4 linked regions of the Rattus norvegicus genome follow. The protein of the gene in region 2 interacts with the protein of the main gene of each other region in a biochemical or structural test. Links are inferred from orthologs where the notes say so. Each region holds a gene or a part of one and is shown on either strand. Other genes may lie near its edges. The genes, in order: Grb10, Ret, Lrrk1 and Tln1.

Region 1 (5,443 bases), on a different chromosome or scaffold from region 2:
ACACAGATTAAACTTTTCGCCTAGAGCACTAGACTGGTCTGTAAGGAAAAAGAATGTTCTAAATTATCAGATAAACTGAAAAAAAAAAACAATTTAAACCTAGATTAAATACGCACACGATTCTGTGGATTTGAAAGGTATGTGGTTGTTATATAAGAAAACATCTCCATGTTTGGGAAGGCAACATCAATGTGTAGAGGGCTGAAGGGTCCACAGTGTTTGGAACTTACCAACAAATCGATTCAGGGGGGAAAAAGTATTGCGAAAGTATGTAGAAACTTTCAAATATCTGTAAAAGTTCCCTGACCTGACAGGCTTTGTGTCTGGGACAGTATGGATCGCTGGTGAGACTTTGCAGGAAAACTAAAAGGTTTGAAGCAAATCAACTTGGGAAAAGTTAGCCCAGTTTTCTCTGCTTTGGTTCGCTTTTGAGTCCTTTGTCTACAAAAGACTTCTTGTGTTCCTTTCCCGGGGAATCGAAGACTTATTTCACATCCTTTCCTCTGGATTTTCACCTTGTGGGTTTCTGAGTCTGGACCAACGGCCAGAAACAGGAGTGAGTGTTCAGTTATAAGAAAGGGAAAACTTTTCATTGATTACATCAATCTGAGGTCGGAAAAACCACGGTTAGAAGCAAGAGGTACCAGAGCAGTGCTCTCAAAAAGCGCGTCGGGACAATACGTGCACAGCACAGCTTTCAAATCCTTGCCCTGAGCTCCCTCCCAGCTTCTCAACCTTCTAGAAGTTACTTCTTAAGAGACTCAGTCTCTCTACTTCTCTACAGTTGCTCTAGAAACAACCTCAGAAGTTTGAGTGAGGGAGAAGTAGGAGAACTCACGAATGTTTCACACCACGTGTCTTCTCGACTACGGTGATTTACGGTTGGGGCTGCTTTTACCAAGCCGAAACTCAAGAAAAAGGTGTAATTATTGGTATCCTATCTGTGCTAGAAAAGCGACACAATATAGACATTAAGAATTATTTCGAAGGGGCCGATCACATAAGCCCTGTTGCCTTTTCGTGGGTCACTTTAGAAACCGGGCACGGCCCGTCTGGGCTTTACTTTCAGGAGGGCCCCACTTCAGAGGTAAAGGACACGAGGCTTGCTAGGCTGCCTCAAGAAACAATGAAGGGCCTCTCAGGCTTCCCTCCTTCGGCTACTCACACGCAGCTGGCGAAACTGAGGCTGAGAAAGGTGAGGCTCGGACCGACCCGCCGTGAGCAAGCCCGAGTTTCCTTGTCCGGGCCCGGGGCTGCCCACGACGGTGTCGGGCGGCCGCAGCCCAGGAAGAATTTGAACTGTGCGGTTGGGGAGTACTTTCTGAGTTTCGAACAATTCCCTTCCGAATGGCCCTTCGGGACAGGTCCGGTCGGTCTTCGCCGGCGCGGCCGCGCACCGGGGCGGTGGCGTGGCGCCGGGGGTCCCGCAAGCTGCGAGCATGGTGGGCGCGCGCCGGCCTGGGCGGGAGAGCATCGTGCCACGCCAACCCCGCGGCCGCTGAGCCCGCGCCCCCCGCGCCACGCCCTGCGCCCAGGCCGCGGCTCCTCCCGCGCTGGCGGCCGCCGAGCGGTCCGGGCGGCGGCGGGAGGAGGAGCAGGAAAAGCGGCCGGGGGAGGAGGAGGCGGAGGCGGTGGCGGAGGCGGGGAGGGCGGGCGGGGCCCGGAGAGTTTAAAGCCCATCGAGGGGGTGGGGTGCGGGGAGGCGGCAGGAAGAGAAGGGCGCTGCGACCAGTGGCGGGCGGGATTCGCGTTCCGAGACCCACGGGAGCACGAAGTTTCCGCGCACCGTCTCACGCACGGCGACTGGGACCGTCCAGTGTCCGTCTTTGCCTTCGGCTTTTTCGCAGGGACTCGTGCAACGTGTGGCCAGCGGCCACGCGGAGGCGACGAGGAGCTGCACGCCAGGTAGGAGTTGGGCGGGGAGCGGCGGCAAGTTACTTTTGTGGTCCGCGCCTCGCGGGGCCCGGCGGCCGGGCGGCTCCCCGCGCCGTCATTGTCTGCGCTCGGGGCCGCCCGCGAACGGGACGCGGGGCCCCGCGAGGCGCGGCGGGCGGAAGGGCGTCGCCTCGGGGGGCTAAGGGACTGAGGGGCTGCGGCGCCCCCGGCCCGCGGCGGGACGGCGCGGGATGGCGGGACGGGACGGCGGGCGCGCGGCTGCGGCGCCCCGCGACGCTCTCCACTGCGCTCTGGCCCCCGGGGGGAGGCTCGGGGCCCCGAGAGGGACATTCTTGAGCCGTCTTGTCCGACGGCGACGGCTCGGGGGGCTCGGGCGGGGGCCGCGGTCAAGGCCGCGCTTTCGGGGGCCACCGCCCTGGAGGGTGGGCGCCCGGGGATCACCGGAGCGGCGGGTACTCCCGCTGCGCCCCCGGCCTCGGCGCGCGCGCCAGGCGGGCCGGGCAGCGGTGCCAGACACTCCCAAGTCCCAAGCGAGCGCGGCCCGGGCCGCGGTCCGAGGATCTGTCCCTACCCCCCCCCCTCGTGCCCCAACCCCCACCCCTTTCTTTCTTCGGGTCTGTTAGTGGCCCCGCTACCCGTCGCTGGGGCCTAACACCAAGTTTGAGGGCTCGCGAAAAAGCAGCCCGCCAGCGGTGGAAACGTGATAAGAGCGGTACCGTTTGCAGAAGGAAATTTCTGATGCAACTCTCCGCCTTTGCTGATTGCCTCTCCAAACGCCTGCCTGGCGAGGGCCTGCGGCATGTGCGTTATGGAAATTAGGGTATTCACTTTTTAAAAAAATTGTATTTGCCTTCTCTTGGCATTGGAAGAAACCCCGCGAACTTCTTTTCATTTGCTTTAACCAAAAAAGTAGGAGCGCCACAGGTGATTTTTACAAGGCCCCGGGTCTTTGGGATGTTTTTGAAAAAACTCTTTTCTTGTAACTGTTTCATTCAAGAGATGCAAAGAAAAAGTCCAAAACAAGTAGCATTAGTGAGTAAATATGTGTTATTGCACAACTTTCCCTTTGCGGCTGTTTAAAAGGCCAGGCCCAGAAGACTTTGTTTCAGAAATTGCTGATTCAGCCATTTGGAGCCCCTGAGTTTCAGAAATGGTGCTCAGTTTAACGTTTCGCTCTCCTTTACCAGAACTCCAGTCGTTAACATCGCCCCCCCCACCTCACCCCCTCGAGAACAGACTAAGGCTTACACTTTAGTGAGGTTCCTATTTTACAGAAGTGGACCTCGAGTTCTGGATTTCTGCAGCTGAGGGAATTGTGTAAGGCGATGGATGAGGCGTCTTAGAACTATTTCACCAAGAGTGCTGCGATCAAATGTGCTCCCAGGAATGAGTCTCGCCTACCAAATTTTTGTCTTTAAAAAAAATCAAAACTTTAGGATTACTGAACATACTTTTTTTTTTTTTTTTGAGTTTTACTGGGAACATTTGAAAGAGGCCAGTCCCCACATTACAGGGAGGGAATTTGAGGACAGACGGAGTTGCAGCCCAGCAGGCGTTGCAGTAACTGAGAAGTGTAGCCACTGATACTGAGGTAGCATTTCGCAGTTTACAAGGCGCTTTCAAAAGCCCTGTTGCTTTTTATGCGCTTCGTGGCCCCCACGGTCCCCATTTTACAGGTCTGGAAACCAAGGCTCAGGAGGTTAACTGGTATGCCTCAGGCCGCACCAGCTAACAAAGGACAAAGCTCTGGGGAGACCTCCTGAGCTTTTTACCGTCTGCAAAAGCATGTCCACTTCTAGAAGAAATGGTGTAGAGGAGGGACACCCTGCTCAACACACAGCAGAGCAAATGGAGGACGGGGCCTGGTTTCTTAGACCAGTTGCTTCCAGCCTTCCAGATTAATGCCACGTAGACCAAGCAATTATCACTGAGGTTTTTCTTTTTTCTTTTTTCTTTTTCTTCTTTTTTTTTAACTTACATACTCATTTACTTTGAGAAGAAACTTCAATATTCATCAAGCCATGAGTTTGATATGATATTTTTGTTCATTATGATTAAAGTTAAAACGCTTCGTGGCACCTAAATCACTTATTACACACTACTTGGCCTATGTTGCTTTTGAACCAGTGTTGGGTTGGTCAAAGTGGATTTTGTAGGCGGACTAGGGAACCAGAAAGCAGGGCAGATTTTTTGGTGGCTAATTGTCTAGGACTTTGGGTGGTGGTTACTGCTATGGTTGGAAGCCAGAGCAGCTGTGTCTGTCCAGTTAGCCTCCACTGGGCAAGAAGGACAAAATCAGAACCAAAGATCCAGCTCAAAATTTAGGATGTGGCTGAACCCGCTGGGTCACAGGCTTTACAGTGTTTCGAAGCCAAACTTTGGTTGAACCAAGCCATCCATGTGCCCTTAGCTCATTTTAGAGCTGTACAGATTTTTGCTTGGCCTATCTTTCTTTTTAAACTGGTATTTTATAGATGGTGTGATTTAGAGAACCTATTTGCTTGAAAGTTTGTTCCACGTGTAAGAAACTACAGGACCGTCGTGTCTATTTGCAACTGTGCGCTGGGGGCAGTTGTCCATCCGTGGAGACTCAGTGCTCCCCGCCGGACATTTCAGTGTTGGCACTTAATAGGAGGGAAGCCTGTGCAGAATCCAGTGTCTGTTTCTCAGCCCGTTAAAACAACATGGAGGGCAGACGAAGCAGCTCAGTGTAGAGCCATGATGAGGCCTTGGCTTTAACTCCAGCTCCAAGTCCTCCTCCCTGGAGAAATTCCCCTCACAAAAACCCACAGCAGTATAGGGCTTTGGAATGAGAAAATATTATTTGCTTTTTATTTAGGGGGTTGGTCACATGCTCAAATTTAAATCTTTTCCGTTAGTGAAGCTGTTTTTGATTGGGGGGGGCATTTTTTTCTTTTTTTTTTCTCTCTTTTTTTTTCCTTTAGGTTCTCTCCTCCTCCTTTTTGGGTTTTTACCCACCATTTTATTTTTTTTTTTTACTTCCTTGTAAAGTTTATTTTTCTCTTCTTTTGGCTTTTTGATTTTGATGTTCCATCAAAGTCGCAGACTTTACAGTGTTCAGAAACTGAACTTCGCTTCAACAAAGACGTCTGCTGTGCCTTCAGTTTCATCCTAAAGCTGTAGGATTTTTTTTTTAATTTCTTAAGAATTTATTAGATAAAAATCTCAGAGCACAGATTTTTAAACCTCTTTTTTTTTTTTTAATACAGGGATTTAAAGCTAGGTGTTTCCCTATGAGCACTGTTTTGGCTGCATCCTGCAGAGTTTGATAGCGCAGTCATTGTTTTCTTATAAAATCCAATCCAGAAATAGGGAAGATTCTGGGGGAATTTTGAGGCAGTCAAATTACCTTGGAGAGCTGGCAAATAGGTGCTTTGGGACTTGGGATATATTCTTCAGGGTTTGTACACTAATGAAAAGGCAGATTGAAAGCTCATTTGTGAAAGTGCCATGCTTGTCCTTTGAGATATCAACCACAAAACCAGTTTCTAGAGTTATCAAAAAAACATCTGAGGGGGGGGGAGGT
Region 2 (4,837 bases):
AGAGCCACCTCCCTGTGCAGCTGACTGTTAAAGAAAGGCACCACTGAACTCCCGGGCAAACTCCCATCCTGAAGTAGGAGGCAGCTGTTCCTCCTGTGGTCCGTCCTGTGCACCCCACTTCACTACACATACACCCCAGTTCCAGCTCCCAGCATCCTACTCAAGTCCCTTCCATGTATCAGGCCCAATCATGGCTGCTCTGGATTCATTTCTAGATTCTTTTTTACCTTTTTTTTTTTTTTTTTCGGAGCTGGGGACCGAACCCAGGGCCTTGCACTTGCTAGGCAAGCGCTCTACCACTGAGCTAAATCCCCAACCCCGCATTTCTAGATTCTTACCAGCCAAGTACCATCCTGTAAGAAGACCACCCCGTGGTGCTGGCACCACACTGGATACCACCTCTGTGCCCGCACATGCAGACCTCGGGTTTCTGTTTACAAGGCTCTTTAAGGCTTCCCCAACTACAAAGCTGGCCTAAAAGGACACATGGCTCCAGGCCAAAGGCTATTTATATACATCTGATATACATATCTATCTGATTTATATACATTCATATACGTGGCCTGTAGAGATATATACTCCTTTGAGCACACAAACACACGTTCTTGCAAACTCCTAAGTGACCCTGATATTTTGTGAAGCCCCCTGAATGTGAAGAAGGCACGGATATCACTGGTGTCGCGCACCTACTGTCACACCTCCACTGCTGCCACTAGAAACATGTCCAAGGCACATACCAGAGACTATGCTAAGCACGTGGAAATGGTATGAATTTGCTCCTTTAAAGATTTGAGAGAAATCAGTATCTTTACTGTTTTGTTTGCTTGTGTCAGCCTAGTCTAGCCTTGAATTCGTGATCTTCTTCCCTTTTTTCCCCCCGAGTGCTGGAATTAGAGGAATGAGTCACAGTACCAACTCTCCATGTTTTACATTAGGGAAATCAGGCTGAATGGTTGAGTCATGGGGCTTCTGTGGGTATAGCTTTTGGGCACCAGGCTAACTCTGGAGCAGACGTGTGGAGCGTGTGTGTGCCTCTGCCCTTGTTTACATGATATGGCCTTGCTATGCAGCCTCCCGGTGCTATCTGGGTTACAGAGAGCTCTGGTGGCTTAGTCTAGAAGCCTGCTGCAGATCCAGCTACAGCCAGAGGAGGAACCACACACTAGGATCAAGAGAGGCAAAGAGCACATGTAGGAAGAACTTCTCCAGCCCTGTGTGAGGGCTGGGTGTCATTCACGTAGGCCTGGGAAAGGTAGGGCCCCCTAGCCACCTAAGGCCACTTCATAGCCACTTCAAACTGCCAGGGGTCCATGGCCACTGGGTGCTCCCACAGGTGTCTGCATCACAGTCCCTCCACCCAAACCTGTGGCTTTCTCTATTCATAGCGCTTGTCTCCATAACACTGTCCTAGCTGTTCCCAGAGCACCCTGGCTTCCAAATCCCGAACAGATAACCAGGGTGCTGAAGGGGCAGGGTCTTCCCGAATGTGAGGGCAGACACATACATGGCAACCACAGAGAAGACATGACCATGATAGGGAGGCCTCAGTGGTAGTCCGGTCTTGAGCAGCACCCACGGAAAGGTTTGTCCATCTCAAGAGTGGCTGGGGCTTTCTTCTGGGCGCCCAGTGCCTCCCCCTTCCATGTTGGGGTATCTACCCTATATACTCCTGCTACCCTGGACCTCTGGGTCAGCACTTCTTTATGATCCCCACACACTCTGCCCCATCCCCATCCCACCCCTCTTCTCAATGGGTAAGCCTATTGTAGGGCTATAGAACATGGGCCTCTTCCACTGTTCCTACTCTTGACATAAAACACTTGCTGGGTGGGCATGAGTGTATGCATGCCTGTGTGTGGGTAGAAATTACTGGTCCTCTCTCTCGGGGCTTCTGCTCACACCTCCCCTGCTAGGTAGGACCACGCTCACTTTCACCAGGACCTCAAGGCCCACATCTCAGACCCCAGCCAGTCCTATCTGAATCAGCACCTGTCACTTCCTTCCTAGACAGTCTGCCTTCACAGCCCTGGAAGGCAAGCAACCCCCTGCTCTTGCCCTTATGCGACGGGGATCTACGTAAGGCTATATCAACCATCTGTGGGCACCCCAAGTAGTAAAGAAAGCCTCTGTGGCCATGTTTCCTCCAACACTGTCCACCTACCTCTTGGGGCCCCTTACCGGGATCTTGAAAGAGTCCACAGAGACCTGGTTCTCCATGGAGTCCAGTGAGGGCCGGCGGGTGCCCGAGGAAGAATAGCTGATTGGGAAGCCCTGGGCCGGCCGGCAGAAGGTCATTTCGGCTGACGCGATGGGTGGCTTGTGCGCATGCTTGTGGTAGCGGTGGATGCAGAAGGTGGACAGCAGGACAGAGATTATGAAGGAGAAGAGGACAGCGGCTGTGATGACCGTACGGCACAGCTCATCGCACAATGGGCCTGTGGCAGGGCAGAGTGACAGGGACTGCACTGTGACCGTCTGAGATGCTACTGACTGGGTACAGGCACCGCTGTACCAATTCTCCTACTGTCAAACCTCTCACAGTACAAACAGTGGTGTGAAGACTGCACTCAACACCAGCTATCCTGTTTTCCTGTTGCAAATGTCTGAATAGTCAGTATAGAAAGGTAGGACAAAGAAAGAAAGGATCACAGGCTTTGGACAGGGAGGTCCTAGAGTGAGCCAAATTCCAGGACACTTCCATAATACCAGAGGCTAAGCAAGACCCTGTCCGGGAAATCTGACCAAGTTACTTGGAAGGACTGCTTTCCTGAGCATCCTTTATTGAGAATTGTGGCTAGGATATGCTTTATAGGGATTCTGACCCCGATTCATGGTGGTGCCAATGGTAAAATGGGCCCAAAGGGAAGGAGCAGCCTCCTGGGGTCTAACTGCCTCCCCATAGTCTCTTCCCTTGCTGAACCACACAAATGTTGCTCAGAGCTTCCTTGAGGGTTTGAGGAAGTCAGAGAGCCCTGTGAGAGGTGCTCCTTACCCTGGCTGTCCTCTGGCTCGCAGAAGCACTTCTTCTCATCAGGGAAACAGTTGCAGATGCCATAGCCGGCTTTAATCCCCTGGCGCTCCCCTCGCTCATGCCCGCCAACAATGGGGCCACCTGAGGACATATGTGGAATATTCAGTCTCCTGGTGTGGCCTGATGCCTCAGAGTCCTCGGACTGTGATTAGCCTTCCCAACTCGGGGTCAGTCGCTTAGGCCCAGTGAAGGCAGTAGGCTCGGAAGCCCCTTTCACCTGGGCAGAGTTTAACACAATACCCCTATACTGGCTATGGAAGTAGGGGGGAGCCAAGATTGTTTAGAATCACTGCTGAGGTCCCGGAAGGCATCAACCACAGCTAGCCCCCAGTAACAGTAAAGATGGAGGAAATGGACCAGAGACAACGTGGGTCCTGAGCCAGCAGGCCGGGGACTGCAGCTTCATGAGTCAGTCAAGGATAGACAGGCCAGGCTGCACAAGCCCCGTCCTGGGGGAGCACAGCCAGCATTCAAATGAGATGGTAGCAGGACTGGCTTGGCACATCCTGCTTGGTTGAACCTACTACTATTACACACTGTTCTTCTTTGGTGCTAAGGTGAAGCCATGGCCCTACATATGCTAAGCTCGTGCAATACCCCCAGCTGGCCTGAAGCATCCTATAGACACTTGAGGCTCCAGCCTGGGTTCAGGTGTAGGTTAGGGCTTCCAAGCTCTCCGCTGCCAGCTCCCTTGCCTTGACCCTTCCCTGCACACTGGTAAAATGCATCACCCTGGGCCTAGCCTGGGCTTACGGAGACAGTCCTGGGGGCAAATGTTGATATCCCGGCTCTCCAGAGCATCACAGTGGCCATCAGGACAGGTCCTGGTGCTAGGAGAACAGGTGGAGAAGTTCCTGGTGATCCCTGTGATGGAGTACAAAACAGGCTGTCACCCTGCATGGGCATATCCCTCCATGGTCTGCCTTTGTCATGGTCCAACCTTGCCTCTCTAGGGACAGCGAGATGAAGGGACAAGTTGAGTAACGCCACATACACCTCAGACACCAGCAAGGAATGACAAGGGGTCCCCCAAGGGCTGAAGTGCCGGGCATTCTAGGACTGCAGATAGCCTTCCTCTAAGGAAGCCACTTAAAGGCAAGGATCTGTCAAAGCTATATTGGCCACAAGCACCTTAAAGCGGGAGGTGAACCTGTAGTGAGGCAGAAACACTTTCTGGCTGGGACTTTCTGGAAGAACCACTCTGTCCCCTGTCGGTCCCAGCTCTGGTATAGTGGTCCCCAGAGTGAATCTAATTGAGGTGGCACAAGCCCTGCCTCCTCTGCTGGCACTGGTTCCACAGGAGGGACAGGCTTAGAAGACAGGGATCAGGGAAGCTAAATGAGGGACTAGCAGACCTTGTACGAACTCACTCCTGACGGCAGCCAGGATGGCCCCTACCCAGCTCTCCTCCCCCATCCTCCTCCCCAGCCCCATCCCACCCCCTGCCAGCTCCCGAACCTACCTTTACCATCTCCCTGACGCCACTCACATCTGCCAGTTGGAGAACCCAGGCCACCACACTCCTCACACTCAGGTCGCCTCTTGTTTACTGCACAGGACTTGGGGCAGCCCACTTCTTCTGCAATGTCTGGGAGGGACAGACAAGCCAAGGTCACTGGGACTGGTGTGGGCCCAGTCTCCAGACCTCTGAAACGGACAGAGTGTAACAACAGTTCCACTGTCCATGGGTTCTGGGGTAACTAGGGTATTTGTGAAAGGGACTGAGGCACCAGAGCCAGAGGCTCTCATTAGCTCCTGTCTGCTGAGCCCTTCTGGTAAACATAAGGACAGGAGGATATGACGGTG
Region 3 (4,837 bases), on a different chromosome or scaffold from region 2:
TATTTATTTATTTATTTATTTATTTATTTATTTATTTTTGGAGTGGGGGAGGGTGTTCTGAAGCCTTTTCAGTCTTGTGTTAGGCTAATCCCCAAGTGGGAGGAGTCACACACTGCCCTGGCTTGTGCCAGGTGGCCCTGTATGGGGACCCACACAGCTGTGCTCACTATAGACTTTTCTCCCACAGCGTCCCCTGGCCCTGTCTGTGGTGAGCCAGATGAAAGACCCAACCTTCGCCACCTTCATGTACATGCTGCCCTGTGGGAAGCAGTCGTCCTTCTTCTCATCCCAGAGCCAGGAGTACACTGTGGTGTTCTGGGATGGGAAGGAGGAGTCAAGGTAATCTTTTCAGTCTGTACTTCACTACGTATGCCTCAGGTGTCACTGGGAACTGCTGTAGAGTGTAGGGAAGACCCCCTGGGAGGGGGAAAGAATTCCTGAGACCCAGAGGCAGGGCCTGGTAAGGAGAGAGGCCAGAGATGGAGTCTCCATGGAATAGAGGTCTTGGGTGATGGCCTGTGGGGTTGTCCAGCGCATGCTACCCCTCCTTCCCCTGACAGGAGAGCTTTGCACGTTAGTGTAGTCTAGGTGGTCCCAGTGGAGAGCATTTACAGGCCTTACAGTCCGGGAAGACTGAGATGGCGTGAGACTTGAATAGAGTGGGGTCAGCAGAACGGACTCTGAAGTTTGCATGGATCTTATGATCTTAGGTTGTCAGTGGGTAGACATGGACAGAGGGGAAATAAATTCATATTTCCAATTCTTTCCATTGGAGAGGACCAAACAAATGTCACAGGCACTGCAGGGTCTAGATATGGTTTCTAAGTACCAAGAAGCAGGGTTCATCCAATGGCTGGTTCCAGGACTGGGCCTGGACTCCAGAGCCAACCTCTTCCACCCTCCTGAGGATGCTTGCTTTTCCCTTCGTCTCAGACATAGGCACGATGCTGGAGAGAGTTGGACCTGGGGGAAAATGATCTTTCCCAGTAGGAAGAGAGGGTCCGTAAAATCTCCCACCAAAACAGAGGAGGGAGAGTGGGGGCTTCTACCTGGGCACACAGAGCAAGGAACCTGGAGAGAGAAGATCAGATTCCCAGACTGACCCATGGAAGAAGAAAGGAAACGAAGCAGGAAACCAGGGCAACACGACGCCACTGTGGCTAGACTCTGGTCTTTCCGCCATGTTTTTTATTTTTCTTAAGCAACTGTATTTTCAGTATCAAATTTTTTCATTACATGGAAGAAAAGACTAAAACGAGTAGACAGAACTTTGGAGAAAGTTTTGCTTGCAAGTTTTGTATCCATTTTTTTTTCATCTGCAGTTTGCTGTCAGTCAGGGGTGGTGAACACCTTTCAAAATATGACTGCAGAAAAGAGCTTACAGCATGGCTCCTGTCTGAGGCTCCACTTTCTCTCTGACTGGGAGAAAGGGCTGTGTGCTCTCAGGAGTGTGATTAGCCAACTAACCCCTCCCCTACTCTGCTCCGCTCATTGGGGATGTGTGGAGGGGCAGTGGAGCTGGACACATCCAGGCCTGTGAGCCAAGAACCTGCTCTCCTCACTAACTGAGCTGTTCTCAGAGCGACCAGGGTGGAGGCACATCATGAGCTCCACCCAGTCAAGTGTGGACTTCGTACTTCTTATCTTTAGCCTGGGACTGTCTACTCCAATGCAGAGGCTGCCTCTCTTCCTGTGGTGGGCGGGCTCTGGTCAGTGGGAGGGCAGTGAGCAGTCCAATGGAGGTGCTCTAACTCTTCATGGGATGGTTGCCTGAACCCTTGGAGGTCACAAAAGGAAAGGAGGCTGCCTTCCGGTTGGAATGTCCTTTCTCTTCCATGTTCAAGCCTTGCACGGCAGGCAAACCCAGATGTACCCAATGTCATGAATGAAGTCCAGGAGTGCTGCAGGGTAGCAGACCTTTGTATGTGGTTACTTTTGTGTCACTGTCAACAAAATAACTGAGCTGACAGAAACAACTCAATGGTGGATGACTGATCTGGACTCTCTGTGTCCAGACCCTGCCATCTTGGCTCCCCCACACTTGGGAGGAACATCATGGTTCTCCTTTACTTCTGGGAAGACAAGCTGCAGAGAGAGGAAACGAGAAAGACAAACAGAGAAGGTGGGGAGGGAGACTGGGCTCCTGGTATAACCACTGATATAACCACCAGTGTTCCATCTGCTCCAGCTAGCCCCACCCCCCCCCAACGTTCCCAGAGCCTCCCAAAATAGTGCCTACATCTGGGAACCACGTCTTTAAAACATGAACCCGTGACACGAAGGGTCCTTCCTACTTGTATGACTACACCTGTTCCAAGGCCATCCCACTGGCCTGGGGAAGGAGGTGCCCCTGGCTCTCTGCAACTGACCCCATGTTGTTGCCAACCACAGGAATTACACGGTGGTCAACACCGAGAAGGGCCTTCTGGAAGTACAGAGGATGACCTGTCCTGGGATGAAGCTGAGCTGTCAGCTCAAGGTCCAGAGCTCAGTGTGGCTAGCCACCGAGGTAACTGCCAGCCTGCAGGGCCCGTGTCAGGGTGAGCATTAGAGGGGTACAGTTCCCAGGGGTACCAGCTTTGTAAAACTGCAAGATGTCAAGGTCAACTGGACAGAGCTCATCCCTAAAACAATGTCATCGGTCCTGAGAGGTAGGTCACCAGGGGAATTGCTGCTGGCTCCTGCTTGCCACCAGCTGGAAGCTAGGATTCAGGGTAGTTAGAATAGGTAGGGAGTCTCAGCAGGAGAAACTGGGTGAGTTGATGGCATGCCACACCGTGTTTCCTCATGATACTGTGTGGGACACGGAGCATAGCTCATCCCTGAGGATCTTCTGTCTCCATACGCGGAAGTCATTGGAAGACCTAAGTAGCTGTCTTATGAGAAATCCAAATGTTGCCCCAAATCAGATGCTCCAGGGTTATGAGTAGGGAAGGAACATCATAATCCTTCTTCGTGACTGTTTATAAGTATTTGGACCTCCCCAAAACCCATAGATACCCATGGAACTAAAGTGTCAGGAACTGAGTCTGATTTAGGAGAACACACAGACCTCTGAGAATGCCTATCCCAATGTAATTCTTTGTAGCAACAACAAATTGACTAAATATGTTTAAAGATGATGGACAGAAGAGGAGACCCCATATACGTCCTAGAGGGGGTGCAGGGCTCTGCCCGTGGCATGTTCTCACTGTATTGTGGCCCCACTTTGCTAGTGGCTGGTTCGTGCATGGCAAAAGCAAGCTTCTGTCTCCAACTCCTTAGGATCCTCTATGAGTTAACTTTCTTCCAGACTGTATTTTCCAAACAAAAAGCAGAAATGGATTAGCAAGCAAAACCCTGCCTTTTTAAGGTACCAAAGGGGATCCCCAGGCTGAGAGCATCCTAACAGGACACCGTGCCAGTCACTTCCTTATCTGGTTCTCAGAGTGACTTTGTCTGCTCTTGCAGGACCAGAAAATCTATATCTACAGCCTTAAGGGTATGTGCCCATTAAGCATGCCCCAGCAGGCCCTGGACACGCCGGCTGTTGTCACCTGTTTCTTGGCAGTACCTGTTATTAAAAAGGTAAGGTATGGAGAGAGGCATGTTCAGGTCTGTCACCAAGTACGGGAGGGTCTCCTTGCTGGGGACAGTGGATAGAGCTGGGGACTTTCTGGGTCACCTTGCCCAGGTCACAGCCAGCTTTAGAGACAAAGGTGGCCACCATTAACATGGAGTGCCTACCATCCATGAGCACTGGCTTAGAGGAGGCTCATACTGGTGCAGATGATGAAGTAAGCCATTGTAAATGGCACCTTCTCCTGATAAAGGTATCGGGAGCCTCTCCCCTGCCCTGGCCACTGTGTTTTCTGATTAATGGACACAGCTGATTCCCTTTTGTCTGTCTCTGCCTCCTCTCAAAGACTTGCTTCCCAGACCCCAGTCCTTTGCCCAGCTTTGCCCAGCACTGCCCTGCAGACCCACTCCTCACCCCATCCACCCTGTGCTCTCCCCAGCCCCAGCTCCATATCTTAGCACGGAATCTCTTCTCGCTAGGGCTGACAAAGCCATCACTTGACTGGCCCTGGTCCTTCTCCTCCAAACAGTAGACACAGGAGCCTCCCCTTCCCTTCTGGTGAAAGGTCAGGCTGCAGAGCGATGACCTCTCCTCTGAGGGGTTGGCTGGCACTGCTCGCTCTCCTAAGTTCTGCTTCCTTCCCTGGATCTAGTAAGGCCACAGGGGCCTGTGGGTGCAATGGGTGCCTTCCACCCATACACACACGGTACTTCCTAGCACATCTTTTTAAAATGTGCTGAGTGCCCTTATGTGATCTCTGTTTGTCCATCTAAAAGGAGGACAGCAATGGCAATGAAATAGGTCTCTGAGCCTACGGAGCCCAGAGTTCTAGGCTGGGCACTTGGAAGCTAGTGGTTGCTATGACTTCTTTGCATTGCCAAACCTGTGATCTAGTTTCATTTCCTTAGAAAAGGAAAGAGAATAGAAAGAGAAATGAACCTTACAGTCATTTATGATTAGAGCCCCATGGGCAGCCTAGGCAGCTGGGATCTCCCTACACCAGAGAGTGAGAGAACCTGACACAAGGCATTATTGAAGGGCCCGATGGCCAGAGCCCCAGCCGGAGTGCACCTCCTTCCCGAGCAGGGAAAATAAAGCTGACTCTGTGTGAGCCTCCTGAGCAGGGTGCCTGCCCTGTGGAGGCCACACAGGGCAGACCATGCGTGCATTCCTGCACAAGCACACTCACATCCCTCTGAACGAACGTGGTGTTCCCCACGCCAGCCAGCAGAGCCAAGATCCAGAAAGACTTATGGCCTGTTTGCTCTGGCTGCTTTA
Region 4 (4,837 bases), on a different chromosome or scaffold from region 2:
AGGGTCCACATTCTGTTTTTCTTTCATGTTGAAGTTCTGCTGTTCCCACTTCCCTTGTGTTGCTACCACATCTGCTTGTATCTGCTCTTGGTCCCCTGTGAAGGCGGATAGCCTTTTGGTCCAAGGGTCTCCAGTAGCCATACAGAGTCAGGTCACATTAGACATTGACACACTAGGTATAAAGACCATCAGAAGGCATCACCAAGGTCCCCCGAGGTCCCTTCTCCAGAGAGTCTTCTTCCCCTTCCCAGGCCCTCCTGCTCACACTGGTTAGTACAGAATTCTGAAGATTCTGTAGGACAGGCAAGAGTTCCACTGAAAGATTCACATCCTAGTGGGAATTAAGTACCCCGGGACTTCCAACAACATGTCCTTTCTGAAACAGTTTTCAGCTCTCGGCAGTTAAAGCCTCAGTGAAGGTAATTCGAAATTAGACCAGGAAAACAGATTAGCTTTAAACTGGATTTAGAGAAGTCAGAAAAGAGTGCGTTTTGAAATCAAAATAATGATGGATAATGGTTGTGTCTCCTCTCAGGGAGCAGCCGCCCACCCCGACAGTGAGGAGCAGCAGCAGCGACTACGTGAAGCGGCTGAGGGGCTCCGCATGGCCACCAATGCAGCTGCACAGAATGCCATCAAGAAGAAGTTGGTGCAGCGTCTGGAGGTAAGGCTGGTGATCTGGGCAGGGGCCGGCATGGAGACAGAGGGAGGGGTGCCAGGGATGGATGGGTCAAGCCAGTGTTTCCTTAGGGTACACTGAGGGCCTGGTAGGCCAGGGCCTGGGAGTGCCTGGCCTTCTGATTACTCTGTCTTCCCAGCATGCAGCCAAACAAGCTGCAGCCTCTGCTACACAGACCATCGCTGCAGCACAGCATGCAGCCTCTGCCCCCAAGGCCTCTGCAGGCCCCCAGCCACTACTGGTACAGAGCTGTAAGGTAAGTCTCCAAGAGGTATGTGGGAGTGGGGAGGGGTGAGAAGAGGGGTTCCAGAAGGAGGTATTCATGACCTTCTGTCCTTCAGGCTGTGGCAGAGCAGATTCCATTGCTGGTGCAGGGTGTCCGAGGAAGCCAAGCTCAACCTGACAGCCCTAGTGCTCAGCTCGCCCTCATTGCTGCCAGCCAGAGCTTCCTGCAGGCAAGACACTCCACTCCTAAGACCAGAGCCTCCCTCCTATGTTTCCCTAACCTTACATTCCCCACAACCTGAATATCTGCTATTAGCCAAGACCAAACCCGACAGAGTGCTTACTACATCCTGACCAATGTATATTCAAAGGCTAGAGGGAGGGTGACATACCTCATTTGCATATGTGTTCTCCAACAGCCAGGTGGGAAGATGGTGGCAGCAGCAAAGGCCTCAGTGCCAACAATTCAGGACCAGGCTTCAGCGATGCAGCTGAGTCAGTGTGCAAAGAACCTAGGCACTGCCCTGGCCGAGCTCCGCACTGCTGCCCAGAAGGTAGGGCAGCCATTTCTAGCTGTGGAACATAAGGCGCAGCACATAGACGGCTGGGATGGGGAGAAGTCGTAGAGTAGCCTAATCTGCGGCCCAGGAATACAGCCTCCCTGTGCTGCTCACCGCCACAGGCTCAGGAGGCATGTGGACCTTTGGAGATGGACTCCGCACTGAGCGTCGTACAGAATCTAGAGAAGGACCTGCAGGAGATAAAAGCAGCCGCTCGCGAGGGCAAACTTAAACCGTTACCCGGGGAGACGGTGAGGATTCGGCCTTCATGCATGCCCTCGCTTACCCACAGAGTCTGCTCAGCCCCGCTGTAGAGCCTTCATGCAACTGCCAGCCTTCCTTCCCCAAGGACCTTCTCAGGTGCCCTCCCCCCTCTTCCTTCCCCTCCTCCACCTGAGCCTTCATCCCCTTATCTGCAGATGGAGAAGTGTACCCAAGATCTTGGCAACAGCACCAAAGCGGTGAGCTCTGCCATCGCCAAGCTGCTGGGGGAGATTGCCCAGGGCAACGAGAACTATGCAGGTGTGTAGGTATCCAGGGCTGGGAATGGGACGAGGGATGCCGCCTGGAGACGGGGAACTTGTGGGGAAGAGGCTGATAGAGCAAACCTTTCTCTGTGTGCCCAGGTATTGCAGCTCGGGATGTAGCAGGTGGACTAAGGTCACTTGCCCAGGCTGCACGGGGTGTAGCTGCACTGACAACAGATCCTGCAGTGCAGGCCATTGTGCTTGACACAGCCAGTGACGCTCTGGACAAGGCCAGCAGCCTCATTGAGGAGGCAAAGAAAGCATCCGGCCATCCAGGGGACCCGGAGAGCCAGCAAAGGCTTGCCCAGGTCAGTGTTGGGAAGGGGCCCACCCCTTGCTTAGGTCTCTTCACAAGGCCTGCCCAACAGGGCGCACGCTCTTCTACTGCACGTGTTTTCAGTCCAGCTCACAGAAGCATCTGTTAGCCTGAGGCACAAACCTGGCTGAGCAGTGGGTTTGGGATGTTTGTGGGTATTTTGGGATGTGTGATTATTGTCTGTGACCCTAGCCTCAGTTTGTTCAGCTACAGAAGTTCCTTTCTGCCTGTTTTAGTGCCAGGACCTCTGGTTAACTCCTATGTCCCAGAGTAAAAGGGGCTCTCCCAAATCACTCCCTTTGGCAACCCTGTTTCTTTCCCACCTCAGGTGGCTAAAGCAGTGACGCAGGCCCTGAACCGCTGTGTCAGCTGCCTGCCTGGCCAGAGAGATGTGGATAACGCCCTAAGAGCTGTTGGAGATGCCAGCAAGCGACTCCTGAGTGACTCGGTAGGACTGTCTGTCTCATGACCTGTCCTTTGACCCTGCCGTCTGTAGCTTCTTACAAGCCCAGGCTTTGCGCCATCCTCCCTAGCCTGCCTTCCCTTCCTAAACTCTCTTCCCATCATCCCCACTCATCTGTCTGACTTCCCCTCGGACCCTGCAGCTTCCTCCAAGCACCGGGACGTTTCAGGAAGCACAGAGCCGACTGAATGAAGCTGCTGCTGGGTTAAATCAGGCGGCCACAGAGCTGGTGCAGGCCTCCCGAGGAACCCCACAGGACCTGGCTCGGGCCTCAGGTCGATTCGGACAGGACTTCAGCACCTTCCTGGAAGCTGGTGTGGAGATGGCTGGACAGGCCCCGGTACGAAGGGCAGAGGGTCTAGTTGAGAGCAAAGTAGGGTGTTCAGAATCTGGGTCTGCTCCTAGTTCCTTCATCTCTAGTCTAGTAGAACAGAATAATGTATGCCTTCCCTTCAACAGAGCCAGGAGGACCGAGCCCAGGTGGTGTCCAACTTGAAGGGCATATCCATGTCTTCGAGCAAACTTCTTCTGGCTGCTAAGGCCTTGTCCACAGACCCTGCTGCTCCCAACCTCAAGAGTCAGCTGGCTGCAGCTGCCCGGTAAGCTGGACCTGGGAATCTCAGCTCTGGGGACCTATGAGACGGCCAGAGGAGATATTTCATGAGACACCCCCAGCTTAGCAGTAGTAAAACAAAAGAGAAATATATACAACCCCATGCACCTAGGACTCAGTTCCACACTCCCCTTCCCAATCAGGGCAGTGACAGACAGCATCAACCAGCTCATCACCATGTGCACCCAGCAAGCCCCTGGCCAGAAGGAGTGTGACAACGCACTTCGGCAGCTAGAGGTGAGCCTTCGCATGGGAGCTGGGGCGGAGGAGCCGGGGCTGAGGGAGGGTCAGTTGAATGTCATGTTGCTCTCCCTGCACAGACGGTCCGAGAGCTCCTGGAGAACCCAGTGCAGCCCATCAACGACATGTCCTACTTCGGTTGCTTGGACAGTGTCATGGAGAACTCTAAGGTTAGTGGGCCAGGGAGCTCCAGAGAGGCAGGGAGGGAAGGTGACTTAACACTGGTACATTTCTGCTCAGTAGACATGATCAGAACCTCCTGATACCCACTCTTCCTTAGGTCCTAGGTGAAGCCATGACTGGCATCTCCCAGAATGCCAAGAATGGAAATCTGCCAGAGTTTGGAGATGCCATTGCCACAGCCTCCAAGGCTCTCTGCGGCTTCACTGAGGCAGCCGCACAGGTAATGTCCTAAGGTGTACCAGAGAGCAGCTCTTGTTTCCCATGCGTGCTGCTTCTCCCTTTCACGGCTGTCAATCAAGAAGCTAGTGTGAGATGGATCAGGGTCTCCTTCCTGTGGGAGGGCGGTCTCCCTCCTGTGGGGGGTGCTCTCCTTCCTGTAGGAAGGTGGTCTCTCTCCTGTGGGGGGTGCTCTCCTTCCTGTAGGAGGGCGGCCTCCCTCCTGTGGGGGGGTGCTCTCCTTCCTGTAGGAGGGCGGTCTCCCTCCTGTGGGGGGGTGCTCTCCCTCCTGGGGCATGGTCATCAGAAGCTATCGGAAGCCCAGGTTGCTGGGACTCTGTTTTGATCACACTGACCAGCTGTGAGACTTTTATTAACACTGCTGAGGATTGAGCTAGAGTTCAACTGAGCACTGCGTGCATATGCGCGTGCACGCTCTCTCTCTCTCTCTCTCTCTCTCTCTCTCTCTCTCTCTCTCCCTCCCTCCCTCCCTCCCTCTCCCTCTCTGTACTTTGTTTTGTTCATTCTGTGATCCATAAACACACATACTTCTAATGAACCTCAATAAAAATTGTTTGTTTGAGATGGGGACTTACTACTCCTGGCAAACTCACCATCCCCTTTGTCTCCTCGGCATGGGATTATGGGAAAGCGCCACCATACCCAGCCTATTTGCCTTTTAATTTTCTGAAAAGTTTGGGTCGGTTTAACAAGAGGAAAGTTTGTTTTAGGCAGGTTAACTGTGGTTTCTTATAACTGCTTCTCTCCGCACAGAAGAGAAAGAGAAGTCTGTTCTCTAACCCCATCCCTCCACC

Evidence for each region.
Region 1: the proteins of Ret (region 2) and Grb10 form a complex in vitro, tested with the Homo sapiens proteins (2 studies listed by BioGRID). The link is inferred for Rattus norvegicus from reciprocal best matches to the Homo sapiens genes RET and GRB10.
Region 3: the proteins of Ret (region 2) and Lrrk1 form a complex in vitro, tested with the Homo sapiens proteins (2 studies listed by BioGRID and IntAct, with this or other methods). The link is inferred for Rattus norvegicus from reciprocal best matches to the Homo sapiens genes RET and LRRK1.
Region 4: the proteins of Ret (region 2) and Tln1 interact in a surface display test, tested with the Homo sapiens proteins (2 studies listed by BioGRID and IntAct, with this or other methods). The link is inferred for Rattus norvegicus from reciprocal best matches to the Homo sapiens genes RET and TLN1.

The regions. Positions count from the first base shown.
Region 1 is NC_086032.1:90,812,644-90,818,086, reverse strand, and holds the start of Grb10 (growth factor receptor-bound protein 10), read left to right. Parts: upstream 1-1,699; 5' UTR 1,700-1,905; intron 1,906-5,443.
Region 2 is NC_086022.1:153,015,602-153,020,438, forward strand, and holds part of Ret (proto-oncogene tyrosine-protein kinase receptor Ret isoform a precursor), read right to left. Parts: intron 4,620-4,837; coding exon 4,494-4,619; intron 3,896-4,493; coding exon 3,785-3,895; intron 3,113-3,784; coding exon 2,993-3,112; intron 2,436-2,992; coding exon 2,179-2,435; intron 1-2,178. UniProt on the Homo sapiens protein: Receptor tyrosine-protein kinase involved in numerous cellular mechanisms including cell proliferation, neuronal navigation, cell migration, and cell differentiation in response to glia cell line-derived growth family factors (GDNF, NRTN, ARTN, PSPN and GDF15).
Region 3 is NC_086019.1:129,260,557-129,265,393, reverse strand, and holds part of Lrrk1 (leucine-rich repeat serine/threonine-protein kinase 1), read left to right. Parts: intron 1-187; coding exon 188-339; exon of another isoform or gene 340-2,391; coding exon 2,392-2,509; exon of another isoform or gene 2,510-2,534; intron 2,535-3,450; coding exon 3,451-3,567; intron 3,568-4,837.
Region 4 is NC_086023.1:62,592,813-62,597,649, reverse strand, and holds part of Tln1 (talin-1), read left to right. Parts: exon of another isoform or gene 1-535; coding exon 536-664; exon of another isoform or gene 665-818; coding exon 819-935; exon of another isoform or gene 936-1,020; coding exon 1,021-1,134; exon of another isoform or gene 1,135-1,323; coding exon 1,324-1,458; exon of another isoform or gene 1,459-1,586; coding exon 1,587-1,715; exon of another isoform or gene 1,716-1,883; coding exon 1,884-1,986; exon of another isoform or gene 1,987-2,090; coding exon 2,091-2,299; exon of another isoform or gene 2,300-2,635; coding exon 2,636-2,755; exon of another isoform or gene 2,756-2,912; coding exon 2,913-3,110; exon of another isoform or gene 3,111-3,229; coding exon 3,230-3,369; exon of another isoform or gene 3,370-3,403; intron 3,404-3,526; coding exon 3,527-3,620; intron 3,621-3,703; coding exon 3,704-3,793; intron 3,794-3,903; coding exon 3,904-4,026; intron 4,027-4,837. UniProt on the Homo sapiens protein: High molecular weight cytoskeletal protein concentrated at regions of cell-matrix and cell-cell contacts. Involved in connections of major cytoskeletal structures to the plasma membrane.